Linked DNA regions of Mus musculus. The protein of the gene in region 2 interacts with the protein of the main gene of each other region in a pairwise test. Links are inferred from orthologs where the notes say so. Each region holds a gene or a part of one and is shown on either strand. Other genes may lie near its edges.

Region 1 (3,500 bases), on a different chromosome or scaffold from region 2:
TTTCTGCTCAAAGCTACCTCTGGAGGTGATGGACAGGGCACAGATGAACTCTCGGAAATCGATGGTGCCATCACCGTTCTTGTCGAAGGTGCGGAAGGCGTGCTGCGCGAACTTGGAGGCATCTCCATAGGGGAAGAACTGCAAAGAACACACAAGTCAGGAGCGGGAGGACGTACAGAGGCCCCAGGGTAGAGTTAGCATGGAGAACGGGCAGAGGCTCATACCATCCCCGTTACAGTGTAGTCTGGCTACGGAGCATGGTTGGAGACAGCATGGGCCTTATCTGTCAGCAGAATGCATTGGTCAGTGATGATCAAGGGAAGGGAGGCAGAAGGGGAGGCCTTGTCGCCCCTTTCTTTGAGCACAGGGATAGACCATTTCCTGTGGAGGCATGTGACCTCCAGATTGATGGGGTCCCAGTCATTCAACACCTTGCTTTCCTGTAGTTCCATTAGTCACCTCCAGGGCAGGACAGAGGCAGGTAGCAGGCCACATGGGGCTATGCAACATACATTTCTAGGTTCCTTTGGGATCACCACACCACAGGATGCAGGGACAAGCTTTCTGATTCTGTCTCTGGTGCCATGACACAGTGTGTCACCTTCCTGGGTGAGATACCAATTTTTTTTCTTTTTTTAAACAGGGACTTTTCCTTTGCAGAGCAGACATTTAAAAATCCATTAAAAATAGAACACGACTAGGCTTATTGTGAGAGACATAAAGTGCTTTCTCCACAGAGCCAGCAGGCAACAGGCTGCTTGGGTGACAGAATGGACACAAGGAGCCGAGGAGAGGATGTCTATGGTAGGGCTGAGACCTTGAGAGCCAGTTCACAGTGGTCCTGGTTCCCCCTAAGATAGGATCCTAGGTGTGCCACAAACAGCAGGCAGTTCTGAGCACTGACAACCACATACATGTATCTCAAGGCCCCAAACAGAAACAAACCGCACTGTCGAATGCATGCATGGAAGGTCTGTTAGCATTCTGGCTGAATATATTGTAAGTCAGAGTCACTGGCAGAGCACCAGGGTTGGTCTCTGCTATTCCTGCCCTAGGTTTTGTTTGATTGGAAGAACCATGTGAGCAGCCACCAGTGTGCTCTCTTAGCCCATGGCCTCATTGCCCCTGGGGCCATGGATACAATTGTGTTTTTATCTGCTAGGTTACCCTATGCCCTATGCACCCACTTCTTCCCGTACCCAGAAGCACACTGGAAACTAGATGAACTAGGTCCATCAAGACAGTTCAGCAGGGAAAGGCACCTGCTGTTTGACACAAATTTGATCCCAGGAGCTCAAGTAAAGTAGGGGGAGAGAACCGATTTCCATAAGTTGTCCTCTGGCCTCCACCTGCATGCTATGGCACCTGTGTGCGCACACTCGTATATATATCACATATCACATGTGGGCACATATAGATTAATAATAAATTAATTTCTTAAATTGGAAAAAGAAAATTTGCCATAGAGATAAAATAGGGCTTTTCATATCAGGATCCTATGTGTATGGCCTACACAGAATTATAGGGGCAAGAGGGGCCAATGCGGACTGTATCTAGTACAGTAGTTCTCAACTTGTGGGTTGGGACCCTATGGGGGGGTTGTAGAACAGCTCTTTCACAGGGGTTGCCTAAGAACAAAAGAAAACACAGATATAGCAGTAGCAAAATTACAGTTATAAAGTAGCAACAAGATAATTTTATGGTTGGGGGTCACCACAGCATGAGGAACTGTATTAAAGGGTAACAGCTGGGGGCTGGAGAGATGGCTCAGCTGTTAAAGCACTGGCTGCTCTTTCAGAGGATGAGGGTTCAATTCCCAGCAACCACATAGCAGCTCGGAACTAATTCCTGTTCCAGGCACTCTGACATCCTCACACAGACATACATGCAGGCAAACACCAATGCACATGAAATAAAATTACAAAACAAAAATAAAAAGGGTCACAGCATTAGGAAGGTTGAGGACCACTGGCTCTAGTAGCTGTCATTTCTCTACACTGTTCCTATTCCTGTCTTTGGGTAGCAAAAATCACCCCAACATTTAGCGGCTTAAAAGAAGGGCAATTGTTTTGCTTTCTTTTTTCTTCTCCTTTCCTTTCCTTTCCTTTCCTTTCCTTTCCTTTCCTTTCCTTTCCTTTCCTTTCCTTTTCTTTCCTTTTCTTTCTCTATGAATTCGAGCTTTATGCATTAATGCACCAGTGATAGACATAAAACCCAACAGCCCCATGCCCATTAAGGAAGTTGAAAAAAAAAACCTTAACAAAAAGAGCATGTACTAGATACACTAGGGAGTCGGAAATCCTGTGGCATGCCATCTCTGCTTTGGTACCCAGAAGAGAGCCTGAGACTATTCAAGGCTTCCAAAGCTTTGGCGAGTCCAGGTTCATTTCGAGAGGTCTCCTGAGGTTTCTGCCTGGTGGTTTCTCTTGGTGTTCAGTGGTAACTGTACATTCCCTAGTGCTTGCAGGCCTGGGTTGTAGACCACTGCTTAAGCTTGATCCTAGTCCTTTTCTCGGAGAACCAAAGCCTAATACGTCCTTTTGTCAGTTTGAGTTTGTCAGCCAAGGCCCCTAGAGTCTCATCTTTGGAGCAGCGGTCTCTCAGGAAGTGCTCTTTCAGCTCCAGGAACTGCTCATAGGTGATCCCAAAGTTTCCATGGCTATCGGACAGGAAGGGTGGAGTTATCTCTATCTCAGTTACTTCTACCTTGGCTGCGCTTGAGTTCCATTCTTCAGTTTTCTGTTTTGTTTTTCAATGTCTCAGAATACAGAAACTTCAAAGCTACTTATTGTTTTCACAGATTTCTCCCCCTTCTCTCAATTTCTTTTGAGACAGGGTTTCGCTCTGCAACCCTGCTCACATGGTACTCATTATCTAGACCAGGCTGGCCATGAACCCTCCTGTTCCTGCCTCTCAGGATGTGGGTTTACAGATATGTGCCACTGTATCTGGCCACCAGTCTTACCTTTATGTGGTCCTGAGAGCCAGCATTGCCCTTTGCTTCCTTGTTCCCTAACCAAATCATGTTTTTCCCAACCTCCCCTTATTAGTACTTAATCGAAATTACAAGGTTTCTTTTTAAGTACCATCCTGGATGTTGGGGATGCAGAGACCAACAGCTTGCAGTCCATGTGTGCCTAGACCACATAGCCATTGTGGGAAATCATCTGGAGTCTACCATGCTCTTTTTTAAGTGCTAAGAGTGGACCACGGGGTGAACAGAGCGCCGGAAACCTTAGGAAAGGGTTCTTCAGGGAAGTGGTGTACATCTTTGTGACCGCTCAGTAGGATTCTCATTCATCCGCTTCTGGCTACTGAGGGACGTGAACATGAGATCTGAACGCCAGATCCTGTGTGCGGAAAGGAGGAAATACATACCTGATATATTCTAACGGGCACGTTTGCTCTTTGTGGGTCACGGGCACCAGTGGAGGTTGCCCCTCTACAGGCAGGCGTTACTTATGGGCTGCTCTGCTTGTAGGAAGGGCAGGTGCTTGAGA
Region 2 (4,119 bases):
TCTGAACTCCACAAGGGCTGGCTCCGTGGTGCTGAGGCTGAGGGCCTAGCTGTGGAGAACTCAGAGCCGGGTCCTTGCTCTTTCCCAGTTTATGGCCCTAGGCAAGGTCGCGTAGTCACTTGTAAAATGGGGCTGACCATAGTATTTGGATGCATTAGTTTCTGTGCCTACAGGGTTTTAGAGTAGAGCCCAGTGAGCCATAAAACCGTCCAAGTGACAGGCGAGCAGGTAACCTCTGCCCAGTGGGTCATCAGCTGGGTCTCTAGAAGGATGGCTGACCTCTGTCCACGTATCCACCAGATCTCTCGCTTCTAAGTTTGCTGGAGTGCACGTTGAGACCTCTCAGGACAGAGAAGTTAAGACAATGCAGCTTGATTTGGGGGTGTCACTCAGGAAGCCCAAGATGCAGGATGAAGAATGGAGACTGTCCCAGCCAGCGTGACCACAAACTGCCCTGGCAGAGGGGAGTACGGGAGGAGCACGGGACTTGGAGACCCCAGGCCACAGACTCAGTGTGACTTTGGCAGGCATCACTGCTGTCTGGCCTCTATACTGTTCTGGGTGGCTCCTGTGCTCACGGGCCAGTGCACTCCGGCATGGGTTGGCCAAGGGGTGGAGAAGGGACCTGGTCACTAAGGAAAAAATATCCAGATACCTCACACCCACAACTGCCTTCATGGAAGGCCATCCATGAGTCGTTGGGGCTTCTGGGGACAGCTCAGACTCTGAGAGTAGACCTAAAAGACCCTTCAGGGCTTTCCACTCTGAGAACTGTCCCATTGGCCAGATGCCAGGCTGGGTTCCTCAGGTCTCAACAGACCAGGAGCCATACTGGATTTTCCCAGCTGCTTCTAACGTGGTGCCTGACACTCAGGAAGTACCTCGTCACCCCCAATCAACTTGAACCAACTTCATACAGCCTGACCATGCTCCTCCTGTCCCTCCTGCTGTCACCTTCCGGGGACCCCCTGAGTCACTTCCCTCAACACTCCCCCGGGAACCTGAGGAAGCCCTCAAAGTCCAGAGAATGGGAGAGGGCTGCTTCCAACATTCCAACACCCCCTCCTGGGGTGTCCCCAGGGGGCCTGCCAGCCCACTCTAAGGCCATTTTACCTTTCTCTGTCTGGGTAAATTACCAGTGACCAATACAATGTCAGTCTTGCAAGACCTTGGGGCTGAGGTGAGTAGACTTGACCTCTGTACACTCTCACTCCTGGCCCCGCCCCCTGCTCCCACAGTGGGTAAGACTCCCAAGTGGGACAATGGCCCAACCTCTTTTTTTTTTTTTTTTTTTTTTTTGGTTTTTTGAGACAGGGTTTCTCTGTATAGCCCTGGCTGTCTTGGAACTCACTTTGTAGACCAGGCTGACCTCGAACTTAGAAATCCACCTGCCACTGCCTCCCAAGTGCTGGGATTAAAGGCGTGCACCACCACTCCCGGCATGACCCAACCTCTTTTGAGGTGTTTGCTTTTTTTTTGACACAGGCTCTCATGTAGCCCAGGTTGGCCTCAAATTCTCTATGCTGTGGATGCTGGCCTTGAGCTCTTGATCTTCCACTTTCTGAGTGCAGGCATGTCCCCATACTCCGCAACCTCTCCTAAAATATTACTCCAAATACAAATATTCCCTCCCCACAGCATCTATGAAAGATCCTATGCACACACACACACACCCATTTACAGACAGTGCTCTCCCCAAACCCCACAGATGAGGGACAGTCACTCCAGTTCTCTGGAATCACCTTGGAATGGCCAAGGTGCCAGGTGAGAGACAAAGGCCCAGGGGTTACTGGGAGCATCAGCTGTCCTCTGTCCTCTCCTGTCCCCTGAGCAGGGGTGGGGGTGGGGATGGAGTTAGGGATGAGGGTGGGGAAGAGGGAGCCTTGATAACCTGTTCATCCCTACTGACCCCTTCCTGCGTGGGGTGGGGGTAGGGTTCTGGGGCTAAAGACACAGGCACCCTGAGAGGAGAAATGGGATCCTGGCTTAAAAAGGCCTGCCGGCATCTTGAGCGGGAGCGAGGTCTTCCTGGAGCTCAGTGGCCCATAAGAGGACCAGAAAAAATAGGAAGGCTCCCTCCCCTCTCAGGCACACTGCAGGAGGCGTGTAGCTGCGGGGAAGAAAGCATGGCACCGGACCTTGCTTCATGCCACCTGCCGGGTGCCGAGTGGGGCGTGGGGTGCGGAGACCTCCGTCCCCTCTGCGCGCTGCTCGCCCCCCTCCCGAGCTCTGTCCCCGTGGGGCGCACCGTGTCCTCTGGGGCGCGGCTGATCCATGAAGGGCGGACACCCACCCTGGCTTCCCTGAGCGGAGCGCTGGTGCCCCCCCCCCCGCCCCCCGCTTCTCGCTGCGTCCCGGGCCGCCCTGTCCTCACCTCGCGACACACAGGATCCCATCACGGGGCGGCGGGGCTGGGCCACTGCGCCTGGGGTGCGGTGGGCGGCCGCGCGCTCATGTCTCCGTGGGCCGGGGCTGCGCGGCTCGCCCTCCTCTCGCTCCTAGTCCCCGCTGCCGCGTCCGGATCGCCTCGCGCCGCGCCCGCAGCTGCCAAGGCCGGGCGACACCGCGGCGGGCGGGGACCCGGGGAGCGCGGAGGGGGCGGGGCTGGGGTGCGCCCCGCCCCCTCTGTGCCAGTGTACCTGTTGTCGCTAACCAAAGTAAGGCAAACCAAAGTAACAGGACTCGGCCCTGTAAGGAAGACTTCTAGTTTCAAATCTGAGTAGCGCCTGCTTTCTGGAGCTCAAGGTCAGGGGAAAGGGCTGGGAAGGGGAATTCTGCAAAGATGAGCCTCATCCCACTGTGCACAATGAGCAAGATCGAGCTTTGTTTTGTTTTATTTTATTTTGTTTTATTTTATTTTATTGGCTTTTCGAGACAGGATTTCTCTGAATAGCCCTGGCTGTCCTGGAACTCAGTTTGTAGACCAGGCTGGCCTCGAGCTCAGAAGTATGCGTGCCTCTGCCTCCCAAGTGCTGGGATTAAAGGCGTGCACCACCACTGTCTGGCCCTGAGCTTTATTTTTAGTGTGTGTGTGAGAGAGAGAGAGAGGGATCAAAGTACACTTGGGGTGGCGGGTGGGGGGGGACGGGACTCTATTCTTTCTTTCCACTATGTGGGTCTCAGGGATCAAACTTGGTAACCAGACTTCCTGGTAAGTACCTTTAACCTGCCGAGCCATCTCGCCAGCCTCCAGGTCAGGGGTTTTTGATAGTCACCTGCTTATGGGAGGATGCTGGTCCAGGGAGGGAGTTCTGAGGGAGGACCAAGACACTGCATTAGTGGCCTCCTGGCTAGATAAGCGGTCTCATGCAAGAAGGTAGGCTACCTCCCAGGGCTCCTCTGGAGCAAGGAAGTATAGGCAAACCCTACCTAGGAACTTCTGTCATGGAATAGTGGAGGCTAATTGCTGGCACTTGTATGGCTGTTAGCGTGTGTGTGTGTGTGTGTGTGTGTGTGTGTGTGTGTGTGTGTGTGTGTTCCTCTTCTCACACATATGCACTGTGTGCATTCACATGCACTCATTTAGGATCCTGGAGAGAGTGGTCAGATGTGCTGTGACAAACCTTGCCAGGCCTGAAGCACCCTGTATCTGAGGTAAATGTCACCTCACCCCATCCTTGGACATTCCTGTTTCCAGACAGAGGAGTCAATGGGTCTGTTTACCAGCCCTGTATCACTAGAGACAGCCCTGGGGGATGAATATGGCTTAGAGCAAGGGTTTGAAGACCCTGTGCAGAGCAGAAGCCAGGCCTGCTGGGGCTGCCCAGGGCTGGGGACTCGAGCTATTGAGTAAAGTCAGAGTGGAGGTGGCCCCATGCTGTCTCTGGTGCTTTAAGACCTAGGTGTAAATGGAGACCTGGCTCATATAGACAGTGTTACTTAAACCCACAACTGAATCTGAAAGGAAAACACATGAATATCACTGCTCCATACACAACACAGGACAACAGGGGGCATGCATCACAGATAGCCCCGAGACCGGTGACTTACAGTGCACAGGAGCAGGGATGCCACCACTTGGGAGGTAGAATCAGGGTGGTCAGAAGTTCAAGGTCATCTTTGGTTACGTAGTGAGTTCAAGGTCAGCCTGGGTTACATGAGACCCTGCCTCAAAAAAGA

What was found.
Region 1: the proteins of Fam131c (region 2) and Vsnl1 interact in binary tests that used the Homo sapiens proteins (3 or more experiments, as listed by UniProt). The two-hybrid records come from large-scale screens. The link is inferred for Mus musculus from reciprocal best matches to the Homo sapiens genes FAM131C and VSNL1.

Annotation. Positions count from the first base shown.
Region 1 is NC_000078.6:11,332,079-11,335,578, forward strand, and holds part of Vsnl1 (visinin-like protein 1), read right to left. Parts: intron 139-3,500; coding exon 1-138.
Region 2 is NC_000070.6:141,366,580-141,370,698, reverse strand, and holds the start of Fam131c (protein FAM131C), read right to left. Parts: upstream 2,508-4,119; 5' UTR 2,397-2,507; coding exon 2,375-2,396; intron 1-2,374.